2 linked regions of the Drosophila melanogaster genome follow. The protein of the gene in region 2 purifies or fractionates together with the protein of the main gene of each other region. This does not show direct contact. Each region holds a gene or a part of one and is shown on either strand. Other genes may lie near its edges.

Region 1 (8,638 bases), on a different chromosome or scaffold from region 2:
TGGAGCGACGGAGATAGCTTCAGCGCGCACGATAGGCAGTGGACCACATGTCGTTTCTCCTGCTCCTTGATGAACAGCACATTGAAAACCTCAACCTGCAAAGAGTGCACAAATGATTAAATAAACTGCATTCATATCACCTTTGGAAACTGTATAAATATGTTAATAATACTACGCTAAATACCTCGCATTGTCCGCAGTAATGGGATGCTTCGTTCTTTCCGCGTCCATTGAAACGTATTTCCACACCTTTCGATTTGACATACTCTTGTATGTGCAATACGTTTTTCAACGTTTGCAGCAAACACATTCTGAAAATTACAAATTACATATGTATGCCCTATAGTATCTGCATAATGGTGATTCCTATCATTTGCTAACTCACTTTATCAGCTCGAAAAGTTTGGTATCAGACACTTTAATATTCCTTGCAAGATTCCAGCTTAAATGCACCATCGGCACAATGCTCTTGAAGGCCTGCACTTTATTCCACTCATATCGCTCGATGGCAAGAGAATACTGACGGGCAGTCAAGGGTCCAACATTCCACGCAATGTTGTTGCACCAACCGATCGACTGAACCCAATGGACGCATCTGAAAGTAGGTTTGATTGTTAATACATCATCCTTCCTTTCATATTCAGTGCTTACCCGGCATTCACCCAAACCAAGTCACCGGGCTTTTGTATAAATCTATAAACTGGTATATTCTCCTTGTATAAATCCTCCAGGACGGGCCACCACGAGCCGTGCAGATAGCTAATGTTGTTCTTCTCGCAAAGATTGTGAACTCCGCCCCAGTAGGCGTCAGGGACGGCAAACCATTCACAGTCGCCAGGACCGATGTTGATGTTGATTGAGCAGAAGTTGTTGTTCTCTTGGTGGCCAGGCGTCCTACTTCCGGGCACCTTCATGTACAGCTGAACGGTGTTCATGCCCAAAATGACGTGGCCCACGTGTGATAGCATATTGGCAGCGGATATAACTCGCGCAAAAGCTGGCAGTTTTTGTAGCTCTGTTAATTGTGGTTTCCATTTCTTTTCATCGGAGAGGTCCACGTTGGTCCCGAACCTAAAAAAAAAAGCGAAATAAGCATTTAATTTATGTTCATAAAGTTCGTAATGCAGACATAAATGGTTTGGAGTTTCTATTACCTCAACATTTTGCTGTTTATTTTGTGTTTTTTACGTTTGAGAACAATGTTCGAATTGGATACCGAGTCCTTTGAGTCTGAATCCGACATTGCTTGCGAGCCGGGGAAACCTTTATCGCTTTCATCCTGCGGTAAAATAAGCTACACGATAAAGTAAACTTGTATTCATGTTAAAGAGGAACCAACCCAACGAACATTACCTTCAAGCTGTCTTGAAAACTGGATGCCTGATATTGGGCATATTTGGCTATGGTTGTGTGAGACCGATGGGAAATGCAGGCCCAGACGCGCTTACCCTGCGAAGTGTCCCAATTTTCATCGGGAGACTGGTGCACTTGTGTCCGAACCTCAACACTATGGTCCGGGTTGGCTTCCACCAACGTTTTGGTCGAAAAGAGACCGAGATCTAGCTTCAAGACGCCCGCTAAGCCGCGTACAACGGCAATCGGATGTTTCAGGCAAAACTCCTGCAACTGTGGGCTGAACGCGTGCTTCTTATTTTCTAAATGAACAGAGGGTGTGGGAGGCAGGAGTTGATCTCGCGTCAGTTTCTGCGGTGGGCAATCGGGCGGAGATGGCGGCGGCGCATTCACTTGCAAAATGGTACAGTGCACGGGCGGTTCATCAATCGGCAGCAGCTTCACAGCTACCATCAACTGCTTCGAGTCCATTTGTATTTTGAACGTGGTCGAGATGTCGGCGTTGTCACCGCCAATAAAATCATGCCTCGAGTCCTCATTGTTACTCAGTGCATCCTGGCTCAAACGTTCGAGCTTGATGCTCTCATTCTGTTTATAAATATCATTCGAGATGTCGTCGAAGGTGTCAAGAACACTTTGCTCCGAACTTTTGTTGCTCTCCGGCATGGCGTTGAAGTTGCGCTGGTTTAAAGATTCCGAAATGTCTGTTTGGAGTGTTAAAAAGTGATTTAATACTTTAAGATATATACTATTTAAATTGGTCACTTACTTATTAGATTTTGCGCTGATGTCTGACTGTTGTTTTGTGTTACTTCTTGTTGGCTTGTGCCATCTTCCTTAATACGTTTCGAAGGTATGGGACTTTGGCTGAGTTGGCTATGCGGATAAGGTGGTGGCGGTCCCTGTTTAAAAACATGATTTAGTTGATTGCCCACTGATTGGTTTAGGATTAAGGAATTCACCTGTACTGGACTTTGCTTTGTGACCTGTCTTGGTAGCATCTGCGCTGTTTGTTGTTGGCGAGAGTTCATTTCTAATGATATTGGCAGGTTCCAAGCTTCTTCGATTGAACACAGCTGGCGGCGCTTGGATGTAATACTTGGCAATGGTGCTTGACTGAGCTGGCCCTCCAGGAAAGTGATTCTCTGAGACAGGCCTTTCGACAGTCCAATTGTGTCCTTTTTCATACGTATTGCTTGTTTTTTTCGAATTAACGAAGACTTCTTCAAGCAAAACAAGTGTGTTAGGTATTGGAAATGGCTACAATTGCATATATAAATTTACCTGGAATGATATTTGTTTGGTTGCATTTAAGTAGCAAGCATAGGCATCTCGTAATTGACCACAGCTCTCATAAAGTATACCCAGGTTGGTCCACGCGGCTTTATGGTCTTTATCCAGTTGCACAGCACATATGTAGGCTTGAAGGGCATCCGTGGGTTGATTTTGTTGCTGATATAAGACGCTAGAAGTGCATGTGTAGAATACAAATAAGATAGGGGCCAAGCTAAACACATTCATTGTTATTTTACCCGATTGAGCACCAAGTATCAGCATTCCCCTCACTTTTTTCCACCGAGTTGCGATATGCTAGGAAAGCATCATGAACCTTATTGATGCCGGCGTAACACCTTCCTAGTAAATATAATGATTGTCCACTCTTTGGGTCAGCTTCGATTGATTTTTGTAGAAAATTTAATGCGTTTGCTTCACGTTCCTTTTTTTCGCCTAGGCATTCTACGCAATGGTACATCCATCCTATAAGGATTCAATAAAAAGTTATGTCTCTACCAGCTTAAAATATAACTTTTTAACTTACCTAATTGTCGATAAACATCTGCTTTGAGCTCCAAGGAGATGTTTTTCTCATTTAGAAGAAATTCGTAGCCATCCTTTGCCGCCTTGTGCTTGTTTTGAACTTCGTACAAATGCGCGATTTGAAATTTGACTGCAAAGTATTAATAATGAATAAAGTTTAAGACACGGGGTGAACGTACTGCAAAATATTTAAATTCTGAATGAATCATAGAAGTTTGCCTTCATCGTATTACTTGATAATTCAATGTATGAGGACTTTTTGCATATAAGTTGTTTATATATCAATAATAAGATAACATTTTAAGATGATAAGTAAATAACTGAAGAACAGAAAAACCTTTTCAGATCACAGTTTTAATTACACATGAAACTTATATGCAAAAGTTTATAATTATTCAATAGATCTTACCCTGAAGTTCCGAAAAGGTCGAAGGATATGTATAAAGCAGCGCCAATTGTAAATGTTTTAGGGCAATATGGAACTCCCCGCAGTGTTTTAGCATAAGACCTAGACGCAAATGAACTTCATTTGCACATGTAAAATTGGGACTTAGGTATAAAAGCTCCTGAAACGATTTGATGGCCCTGGAAAAAAGTAAGTAAATTAATTTTTTTATTCGTTGTTCTGAATTATTTGTTATAACTTGAATGTATTATTTTAATTTATTAAATTTTGTTTTATATTTAATTTATAGTAATTGTTTACAGTGAGCGGTGTTTACATAAGTGCATACATACTTATGTGCATGCAGTCACGTACACACATGCACGCGTATGTACATACATACATACAAATAACCATTTGAACAAACAAATTCAAGTAACATACTTAATTAAACTAGAACTCCGATGATAAGTGCACAACAGTAAACTTAAATGTTAATCTCCTAAAATATGCCTGCAAAATGCAGGTTTTGTTTATAAATAACAATAGAACTTGCAGCCGTCGTGTCGGCAGACATGTCTGCGTGCACTCAAAAAAACGAGACAGACCGTTTCATGGCTTTTTATCAGATAGAATTGCACTGAGAATCATTGATTATTTGCGTCGGACGCGGTCTGCCTAAATGTTAGCTTTCGAAATTAATAAAATTAAACAAAGAACACATTTTACCCCGCAATTCAACTAACGACCTTAAAGGGGGGCACTCATTGCATTTTGTACACAGACACACGCACACACACGCACCGTGTACATACATGCATGCATGTAACGAGAATTTATGTATTTTTATAACAGCGAATTTGCAAAAACAAACAAAGGAATACAATGAAAACACATATATTCATTTTAATTTTTGGCAATATTACATCGGTTTAATTATTATTATTGTAAGTGTTAATGTTTACAGCATCCATTTGTTTTTTTTTTCTTTAGAACCCAGACAACTATGAAAAGATTCAAAACTAACCAGTAAACGCACTTTTTTTATTCGAAAAAATCTCGGCAGTCTTAATTTTAATTCGTTGTGAATTGTTTACAAATATATATATAATATTAGTGGCAGTGTTGTTTCGTGTAGAATCTATTTAGTAAACAATTTAATATCAATACAATAGGGATGTGACAGGCGCGATATCGTGATTAAATGGGAACGATATGAAAGCGAAACGTATACATCGATAAGAGCCATCGATGATTACAATTGATAAATAAATGTGCTTCCACTGCACATGCATCTACGTTTAAACGATTCATATCAAAATCGCATGTAATGGGTTTTAATTATTAAATATAACTTAATTGTTTTTGAACGTAGCATAAAGATATTTCTTAAATACAACAAATATATTTAAGCAGTTAAAATATTAAAAAGATAAGTAAACTTACCATTTAAAGCACCGAAGTTTAAAATAAGCAACGCCTATTCCATAGATAAATGCATGATTTGTCCAGTAATTGTTTTCTCGGAATCTTAAATACTTTTGGTACGCTGATAAAGCTACAAAAAGAATAAGATATTAAAAAACAACTCAATTCTTTCAGGATCTCTCGTGATGGATTGAAGTGTTATGTTATTTATGCGTCGTACTCTGCAGTTTAGCAGTATTTAATGTTAAAGTGTGTCATTAATGCGGCATTCTACAACTATGTTCCCGAGTTTGGAAACAATTGTTCCACCTGACACATTATGTAAGGTAAAAGAACCAGATATTCACAATATATGAATTTGTGAGGACTACAAGCATCCTATATATCCTATAGATGTCATTTGCAGAGTGCACTGATTGTATCTGGACATGTGCATCTGGATTTATGTATTTACCTTCGGAGTATTCGCCAAGAAGAAGATGCAGGTGGCCAAGTTTGCAAAGAGCGTTAACGTAGTGTTCATCCTGGTGTTTTTCTTCAATGATGGACACCTTTTCCTTGGCATCTTGCTCGAAAGGTTTGGTGTCGTCATTGTTTCGGGAAGATGTGTTTTCCATATGTTCACCTGCTTGAGTTGATGGCTCAAACTTTTGTATAGCATTTTTATTATCACTGCTGTTCTTTGATTCGTGAACCTGACCATTTGCAATGTAGTTTTGTAAGTTTGTGATGGTCTGCTGAACGAGATTCCTTAATTCCGCATTTTTCGAATTGGACAAATCCAAAAAGCCGTAGTATCGACTGAAACGTAAATATTATTAAACAAGATTCGAGCGGGTGGCATTAATCGTACCTATCCAGTTCGCGGATCAGGCAATCATCTTCGAAAGTTAGTTGCCCCATTTTTAAACCAACTGTTAAATCTACTGGGTTTTAGAAGCGTGGGCAAAATACAGCGTAGTTTTTAAAATATTTTTTTATTTATATTTTTAGTTTAGAGATGACACTAAAATATTCTTAGAGATGATACATTTTTCTATCGTCGACGTGTCACGCCTTTTTTGAAGTTAGTTTCTCACTGCGCAATCGATAACGGAACTGGAACGATTGGAAAATTGTGGGAAACTGTGACCAAATAATTTTTATTTTCGCGTTAGCTGATAACAATTTATTATACACCAAATCAATACAGATGCTGTTTACAATTTATGTTTTAAAAATTTGAATCTTAATGCAGTTCTTTTGATACTTTTCAGATAAAATATACATTTAAGTTATGGAAACTGATCTTATTGAAGATCAAAAAATAAATTGAAAATTTAGTTAAAAAAAATGGAAATTTATTGTGCGAGTTATCGCTAGAAGAAAATTAAATGTGAATATCCATGCACAAACTCCTTTGGCCTTAGATGTGTTTGCTCGGTTTTTTAGGAATTCCTTCTCACTTTCAATGTTTTCATTAACTGAAAGATAAACAAAATTTTAGGTAGTTTTTAATTAAAACTATATTATTCAAACAATCAATGTAATATTTAAATATCAATAGAACAATGAATTAACTTACAAGGGTCCTCCGTGTTTAAAAAATCTTCTGAGACGCTTTCCACGTTTACAGCATCTAAAAACAATTACTCGGTAAATAAGTATAGCAAAGGAAAAACAAAAAAATTTAAAAATTTTGTAAAAGTAATTACGAAGTAGAACAGCCGTATTCATTTTCTTACCAGTTTCTGAGTCCGTCAAATCTTCTACCTCAGTTTCAATCTCATCTTTAACTGAAATTAAATATTCAAATTAAAGTTATTTTAGAAAATAAAACTGAATAAATTAGACTTACTGGGGTTTGCTGGGTCTGGAAAATACACCGCATCAGGCTCAACGAATTCCTCCACTGAAAAATATTTAAAAATGTACTAATTAATTATATGTAATTAGATAACAATGAAAAATAAAATTCCTGATGGATTTATAAAAATTTTAGTAAAGTACCTTTGATATTTATTTGATTTTTGATAAATGTGTTAAGATAACCCTTCTTCCCAAAAGAAAAGCGTTATAAATTTTAGACCTTAAAATTCCGGCTAAAAGTGGATCTTTTTAGTTTTATCATAGAAATATTCTTATCAAAATGCAGTTAATCTTTCTCGGGAAAGCAGAGGAAAGTTTCTACGAAACTATTTGTTTCTCTTAATCCGCAAACGATAAACTACTTTTGACAACAAAATAAATATAGCAAATAACTTTCGGTTTACATTACCTATTTCTGCGATTTTTCTTTGACGATAAGGTAGAGATACACTGTAGTTGTTATTTTGAATGTCCGCAATCTCTGTATTCTGTATTATTGTATATATCCAACTTAAATATGGATTTAATTGCGTAAACCTATTTGGGCGCCGAACTTCAAGATTAGATTCCCGTTTATTTTTCAATGGCAAGCCATAGGAAATGATTCCAACTAAATTACTTTCATGAATAACACCATAACCGGGATATATGTTTTCTCCATCCGCATTTTTCCAAACCTGTGGTAGTAATTTTAATATTAATAAAATCGTTTTTCACATAAAAGGATATGTTTTTACGTAAGATTCCACACCCTCCTCCAATGGAAAATCGGTAATATCATAGTCAGCGACTAAAACCCATTCAATATCGTTTCGCTCGGAAAGCGGAAGTTGCGTACTGAGACTTAGGATCGCTATATCATTGTCCAACGATGAGAAATTGAACTGCGGATATACGTCTATGCCACCAACGAGGTATATCAACTCGTTCAAATCTTCGCCTTTGAATGATACCGCCAACTCATCAGCATTTAACAATTCCCTACCATTTACGAAATCGTTATCACTCAATAAACACGATGCTGATGTTAAAACCAAGCGACTCTGAATGATATTGCCATAGCAATGGCCGTCGATCAAATCTCCTTGAGTATTCCTTTTGCGCACAAGGACTTGGTACGAAGGACGAAAGTACTCATTTTGCACGAACGGAAAAAAGCACAAGATAATCAGAGCTACCGAAATCATAGTATCTTTGGCTACGCAGGCGGGAGAATCTTGACTGTCTTCACGGTTTCCTTACACGTTTAAGATAGTAAGCAACCTCAGATGCACAGATGCCGAGAGATATAGCTTATCTTTTTATATAATTTGCTTAAGTACAGCGGAACCCGCATTCTTGGGTCTTAATTCAGTTGCGATAATTGAGCATAAACAGGTGTGCGAAATAACACTTTTTTTTATATATGAAGATATGAAGTGTAACTGAGGAAGTAGTCTGAACATTACGCTCATTATGTGATAACAATTAGTACAAAGATTCCCAAATTTTTGGTATCTTATATCGCATGTTTTTACTGTTTCACTGTTGTTTGTCTGGCTTCATAAAATGAATGAAAAATTTAAGAGGGCAGCTCACTAAGCACGGAAAATCGTTAAAAGGGTGAACCAATTTGTTAGCAAAAAATTTAAAATAACTGAAAAAAAGGTAATAATAAATATTTTATGTGTCTTGGCAACGATTTAAAAAGATTTAAAATGAACTCATTTACTTAGCTTTAGATTCTTTTTGTTATTTGTTTTAATGGAAGATATAAGAACAATTAATATAAGCAGTAATATTTATTTTCTTGTTTACGCAAGCTTA
Region 2 (7,058 bases):
TAAGGTGGGCTGGCACTGGAGTGCGGCAGTGCAGGGGAGTGCTCGAGAGGGCCGACGAGTGACGACAAGAGGAGGACCGAGTGGAGTGTACTGTGGCTGCCTGGACGCTTATCAGCAAAACGCTCGATTCAGCGACTTGCATTCATTCAGTCCCCTGTCACCGGCCGAGCAACAATACGGCACAGGGAGATCGAACCTGATTGGATCGGAGCGAATCGAATCGACCTAGGTATAAGTCAACCGGAGCGGAATGGGCCGTAACAACGTCATCTGCACGATCTGCTCGGAGCGGTTTCGCACCTCGGACAATATACAAGCCGGCAGCTGCGGACACGCGTTCCACGAGGACTGCCTAGACCACTGGAGAAAGCAGTAAGTAAAAGTGATCCTAAGGACTTGAGAGCTATAACGAAAATGAAATGTGCCACTGATATAATATTCTAATTTATGCACCAATCAGAAATGAAAATGATACAAAAGTGATTTAAATCAGTGGCAGTGCCCCAAATCTTATCGCCGAGCTCAAACGTTTTGTCTTATACGCGGATTCCGTCTGCTTTGCAGATCAAGGACTTGCCCTATCTGCCGCAGCCAGGATGCCGCCTACTTTCAGCTTTATCTGGACTTTGAGGAGTTTCCGGAAAGTGCATCGGCTCAGGGTGGCAGTTGGGGCGGCCATAATCGGAGCCAAGGTCACAGCAGCAGCAGCAGCAGCTGCAGCAGCAACAACAACAACAGTAACGACAACAGCAGCAGTGACGATTATATTGGAATTATGAGGGAGTACGAGAATCTACTTTACGAGACGGGCGTGTACCGAGAAGAGATCGAATATCTTAACCAGCGGATCGGAGCCCTTACTGTCCTCAATGCTGAACTCAGCAAACTACATGAATGTTCGGATTCGGATGTTGATTAAAAGCCGTAAACAAACAAACGAGTCGCATTTGCTTATCGTACTATTCGCCTGAAAACCAATCAAAACCGAATATTTGCGAAACCGACAGGCAAAACGTAATAAGGCTGAGCTAAACAAAAGAACTCGATACATTTCATTATAAAGGAAGCGGTAGGTACAGGGTTAGCAACTAAAGGGTTTGACAAGATAATAGACCCAAATAGAAATAAATTGTTTAGGGCTGAGGCCCCAAATTGCGATATCAGAAAATTAAACTGATAGAAAATATCACATATTAGTGTATTTTTTGTATACCAATAATCAAATAAATATTAAGAATATATGTCCTGAATGTCAATTTTGATGTGAAAACTCTATTTCCATTCCCTTAAACTGTTTTAAAATAAGCTTCTTAATTTGATAGTGTTAAGCAAATTTTTTTCTATATAAATTTTGAATCTCCCATTTTTGTTCTAAACCGGTATCGAATTTTAAGGCAGATGTTAGGGTGCTCTTGAATTACTGAATCCCTGCTTCTTGGTCATCGCGGAAATTCATTTTTTAGAAATTTACTGCGGTCTAACTATCGCATAAATATATAAAATACATAAATATCCATGACGGATTAATTTTCAGATTTTCTGACCATTAAGCGAAGTGGAAACAGCCTATAATGTGCCATTGTTTTTTACCGAACCAAGGCAACTCACCGCGACAGTATACTCACCACAGACAAACCAGTTCTTCGCCCCCCGCAATCGCTTTCTCACCACGCTGTCAGCTGTTGTTTCGCGAAATGCTTCTTCTTGCGAATGCCAATTACCGCGTCGCGTCTCTTTGTGATGATGGGATGGACTCAATTACTACAATTACAATAGAGATTGCAACAAATTAAATCAGCGTCGTGTGGTGTTGTCGTGTCAGTGACGTGCCTGTGTGTGTGTGTGCTCGCGAGCACTGATAACTGATAGCCAAGGAAAAAAGTAAATAAACAACCGTCACCTTGCGGCGCATCAAAAGCCACTGGCTGCAAGTAAGTTGCACTTCCATTTGCATTTCGCCCAATTCTGGTTCCGTTTGGTCTTGGGATTCACGGTTCAGCAGCCTAACCGCTCGATTCTCGGCGACGGCGTTTGCGATTTGAGGCCGAGGTTGCCGCCGGCAGCGGTGAAATTGGCGCACATTCACGTCTCCATTTTGCATTTCTATTCTGCATAATTGCAGCGGCGCTAAATTATTTGTGCACTGTGTGGTTTGCAAGGCGGTGAGGAGGGGAGCCAGACTGACTCAGGGTTGCATGCGCCGTAGGTGCGGTGAGTTTTGCAATGGCGCCGCCAGGGCTGTCGCTACTCCCGTTTTCTGGTTTTCGACTAAATTAATTAATTGATTGATTGCGCATTGGTTATCAAAGTAAAAACACTTATTTTTGCGGCAGGTGCGATGGGCATTAGCGCTTTAATTGGGTCATTAACGCCCACTTAAAACTGTTTCTGTGAGTGGGAAAACAGCCCTGTCCACTTTGTGGTGAATTAGAGATGCGATTGCGCCCAGTCACGAATCCGTGCTTCAATTGGGAGACCGATATATGTACTTATGTCGTGCATTAATTAAAAAGAGGAGTATGTAATTTTATAGATGCGTTATATACCATATGACTTAAGGTAATACCATCGCCGTTGTTAATTTTATACAGTGTTTAACAGTCGTGACTGTGACTCGTGACGACGCAACCTGTGTCACAGTCCATCCCTACGTTGGTGAGTTGCGTCGCTGTGGTGAGATTGTCTTTGTTGAGAAAAAATGTCGACGCGAAAAAAGGTATTTATTCATTAGTCAGAAAGTCTGGCATTCTTTGTTTGTTGGTAAAAAGCGCAATTGTTTGGAGGCGAGCGAATAAAGTGCGCTGCTCCATCGGCTCAAGATTATGTAAATGCAGCAACGACCCCACCAACAACGAAACTGCAACCTGCTCCACTTGGCCCAACGGACCAATAGCGGACGGACGGACACGGTGGCGTTGGCAAAGTGAAACCCCAACAGAGAGGCGAAAGCGAGCCAAGACACACCACATACACACGAAGAGAACGAGCAAGAAGAAACCGGTAGGCGGAGGAGGCGCTGCCCCCAGTTCCTCCAATATACCCAGCACCACATCACAAGCCCAGGATGGACAACTGCGACCAGGACGCCAGCTTTCGGCTGAGCCACATCAAGGAGGAGGTCAAGCCGGACATCTCGCAGCTGAACGACAGCAACAACAGCAGCTTTTCGCCCAAGGCCGAGAGTCCCGTGCCCTTCATGCAGGCCATGTCCATGGTCCACGTGCTGCCCGGCTCCAACTCCGCCAGCTCCAACAACAACAGCGCTGGAGATGCCCAAATGGCGCAGGCGCCCAATTCGGCTGGAGGCTCTGCCGCCGCTGCAGTCCAGCAGCAGTATCCGCCTAACCATCCGCTGAGCGGCAGCAAGCACCTCTGCTCTATTTGCGGGGATCGGGCCAGTGGCAAGCACTACGGCGTGTACAGCTGTGAGGGCTGCAAGGGCTTCTTTAAACGCACAGTGCGCAAGGATCTCACATACGCTTGCAGGGAGAACCGCAACTGCATCATAGACAAGCGGCAGAGGAACCGCTGCCAGTACTGCCGCTACCAGAAGTGCCTAACCTGCGGCATGAAGCGCGAAGCGGTCCAGGAGGAGCGTCAACGCGGCGCCCGCAATGCGGCGGGTAGGCTCAGCGCCAGCGGAGGCGGCAGTAGCGGTCCAGGTTCGGTAGGCGGATCCAGCTCTCAAGGCGGAGGAGGAGGAGGCGGCGTTTCTGGCGGAATGGGCAGCGGCAACGGTTCTGATGACTTCATGACCAATAGCGTGTCCAGGGATTTCTCGATCGAGCGCATCATAGAGGCCGAGCAGCGAGCGGAGACCCAATGCGGCGATCGTGCACTGACGTTCCTGCGCGTTGGTCCCTATTCCACAGTCCAGCCGGACTACAAGGGTGCCGTGTCGGCCCTGTGCCAAGTGGTCAACAAACAGCTCTTCCAGATGGTCGAATACGCGCGCATGATGCCGCACTTTGCCCAGGTGCCGCTGGACGACCAGGTGATTCTGCTGAAAGCCGCTTGGATCGAGCTGCTCATTGCGAACGTGGCCTGGTGCAGCATCGTTTCGCTGGATGACGGCGGTGCCGGCGGCGGGGGCGGTGGACTAGGCCACGATGGCTCCTTTGAGCGACGATCACCGGGCCTTCAGCCCCAGCAGCTGTTCCTCAACCAGAGCTTCTCGTACCATCGCAACAGTGCGATCAAAGCCGGTGTGTCAGCCATCTTCGACCGCATATTGTCGGAGCTGAGTGTAAAGATGAAGCGGCTGAATCTCGACCGACGCGAGCTGTCCTGCTTGAAGGCCATCATACTGTACAACCCGGACATACGCGGGATCAAGAGCCGGGCGGAGATCGAGATGTGCCGCGAGAAGGTGTACGCTTGCCTGGACGAGCACTGCCGCCTGGAACATCCGGGCGACGATGGACGCTTTGCGCAACTGCTGCTGCGTCTGCCCGCTTTGCGATCGATCAGCCTGAAGTGCCAGGATCACCTGTTCCTCTTCCGCATTACCAGCGACCGGCCGCTGGAGGAGCTCTTTCTCGAGCAGCTGGAGGCGCCGCCGCCACCCGGCCTGGCGATGAAACTGGAGTAGGGTCCCGACTCTAAAGTCTCCCCCGTTCTCCATCCGAAAAATGTTTCATTGTGATTGCGTTTGTTTGCATTTCTCCTCTCTATCCCTTATACCCTACAAAAGCCCCCTAATATTACGCAAAATGTGTATGTAATTGTTTATTTTTTTTTTATTACCTAATATTATTATTATTATTGATATAGAAAATGTTTTCCTTAAGATGAAGATTAGCCTCCTCGACGTTTATGTCCCAGTAAACGAAAAACAAACAAAATCCAAAACTTGAAAAGAACACAAAACACGAACGAGAAAATGCACACAAGCAAAGTAAAAGTAAAAGTTAAACTAAAGCTAAACGAGTAAAGATATTAAAATAACGGTTAAAATTAATGCATAGTTATGATCTACAGACGTATGTAAACATACAAATTCAGCATAAATATATATGTCAGCAGGCGCATATCTGCGGTGCTGGCCCCGTTCTAAATCAATTGTAATTACTTTTTAACATAAATTTACCCAAAACGTTATCAATTAGATGCGAGATACAAAAATCACCGACGAAAACCAACAAAATATATCTATGTATAAAAAATATAAACTGCATAACAAGATATATGGTCGTTTTATCTGCGGATCTGCGATTAATCCCATTGTCCACACAAATATATGGCTTTATTTGCGTATATAAGCGGTGCGTTTCAGGACTGTAAGAAGAAATCGAGTGACTTTCTCGAAGGCGGAAATGTATATACATCCATGCCTATTTGCGCGGATGTTTCAATATTTCAGTTTTATTATTATAAATCATACTATGTTCTGTTCCGCCTAACAAGTTTTGTATTACTAGTTAAATTAGTTATTCTGCCGGCCCCTTGGGTGGCTTTCTTTTTTTTTTTAATATATCTGTGATATAATTAGGTGGAGGTAATAAATAAAGTTCACTGCGGAAACTCTTCGAAAATAGCCAGTCTAAATTTAATTCATTTCATTCAAAAGATGATCCCAACGATTTCACGATCTTGTACTTATAATGTGTAAAATGTTAACCAACTAGAAATCCCTTCTATTGTGATTATGAAAGGATCGCTTTTCGCTTTCGAACCGCACTGTACGCCTTGTTCGCGTCCCCTAGGCATTGATTTTTGGTTTGTGGACCATCGCCTGATGGTCCCCACTCCTCACCTTGATGTTGCGGCCTCTCAGATGGCATTTGGTCAATTTTTATAAAATTTATGTCTCAGCGGGAATGTATGTTAGTATGTATTTACAAAAATATGGTATTAACGCACAAGCAGCGACTAAGAATAGATATTGTTTTTGAAAAAAGAACAAAACTCGCCGCTGACGACGCACATTATGTTCTATAAATAGCCAAATTGAGGCTCTATCTCTTTCTATATCGTTGTATCTTATCTGTATATCTCGCCCCAAAGGAATATCTGTAAATTGGGACAAGTCGACGGATACAATACTTAGCCGTCGGAGATCCTGGCTATTTAACATGAACGTATTCTCAGATTCTCCATTCACACAAATGATCTAGAGCTTTTGAAAGCTCCCACACAGAGTGAAAGAGAGGGGTAGAATGTTAGAGAGAGACGGCAGTGTGTCCACACTTATTGTGGGTGGTTTTTATTGGTTTAGCTAATAGCTATCCTTGATTTTGTGTGTGGCGAGCATATTTAATAAATTTCATAAATTTCATCTCTCTCCACCGACAAGAAGAAGCCCACACAAATAGTCCTATGTAGCAGCGTGTTAAAAAATGTGGAATGAAAAATGAAATGTTTCGCACGGAAAAACCATGAAAGCATGCCAATAAAATCATGTGTCCCCTCCCCTCCTCCTCCAAATACCCACCACCATTTCCTTCGACGATTTGCGATTTCGTGTGTGTATTGGAAAAGAGTTTTCGAAGCGAAATTAACAATTTGCTATTTTCGTAGTTATGCGGGGGCGTTTGCCAAAGACCCACGAGGGGACTATGGGTGGATGCTGTCTGAACCGCGGAGACTCGCTGACAGACGAGGAGAAAACCAAGGAGGTGGGGCGTCAGACGCGCTGACGTAGGGGCCAACAAGTTGTTGTCGTCTTCGCATATCGCGCACAGCATACGCCATACAGGGTGCCCCTTTTGAGCTCTCTTACTTTCTTTGCGTTACTTCGTGTCGCCTGCAACTGCATTTTCCTACCAATTTCACTAATGGGCGTCCGTCCGAGAGCTCTCTTCGTCACAGCCGCAGCAAAAGCAAGGGGAGCAGGCAGCACCGCAGCTGCAAATGAGCAAAAAGCAGAAAGAAGGAGTTCGGAACTGGCGATACCCATTGCTTTTAGAAGACAGTCCAATGGCCAGACTATTTGGCTCATACCCAGGTCCTAATTACCTGATCGTTCAACAAACTCATGTTCAGGACATTCGTACATATACGTATATTCATCATAATCAGAATGTATCGGAATTGTGTTGATTTCTAAACGAGACGAG

The links.
Region 1: the proteins of usp (region 2) and Utx purify together in Drosophila melanogaster (affinity purification with western blotting; 2 studies listed by BioGRID). This does not show direct contact.

The regions. Positions count from the first base shown.
Region 1 is NT_033779.5:10,272,812-10,281,449, forward strand, and holds the start of Utx (Utx histone demethylase), read right to left. Parts: upstream 6,001-8,638; 5' UTR 5,888-6,000; coding exon 5,838-5,887; intron 5,786-5,837; coding exon 5,439-5,785; intron 5,115-5,438; coding exon 5,003-5,114; intron 4,741-5,002; exon of another isoform or gene 4,584-4,740; intron 4,351-4,583; exon of another isoform or gene 4,001-4,350; intron 3,757-4,000; coding exon 3,581-3,756; intron 3,302-3,580; coding exon 3,173-3,301; intron 3,112-3,172; coding exon 2,886-3,111; intron 2,819-2,885; coding exon 2,638-2,818; intron 2,577-2,637; coding exon 2,316-2,576; intron 2,256-2,315; coding exon 2,123-2,255; intron 2,058-2,122; coding exon 1,354-2,057; intron 1,295-1,353; coding exon 1,155-1,294; intron 1,072-1,154; coding exon 652-1,071; intron 596-651; coding exon 386-595; intron 312-385; coding exon 185-311; intron 96-184; coding exon 1-95. Other genes in the region: CG34043 (uncharacterized protein), read right to left, coding at 6,308-6,447, 6,549-6,602, 6,709-6,759, 6,822-6,875, 7,242-7,509, 7,570-8,019.
Region 2 is NC_004354.4:2,036,920-2,043,977, reverse strand, and holds usp (ultraspiracle), read left to right. Parts: upstream 1-1,666; 5' UTR 1,667-1,931; exon of another isoform or gene 1,932-2,110; intron 2,111-2,333; 5' UTR 2,334-2,517; intron 2,518-2,591; 5' UTR 2,592-3,064; coding exon 3,065-4,591; 3' UTR 4,592-5,180; downstream 5,181-7,058. Other genes in the region: CG4325 (uncharacterized protein), read left to right, coding at 251-372, 565-919. UniProt on the Drosophila melanogaster protein: Receptor for ecdysone. May be an important modulator of insect metamorphosis. Plays an important part in embryonic and post-embryonic development. Binds to ecdysone response elements (ECRES) such as in the promoter region of s15 chorion gene.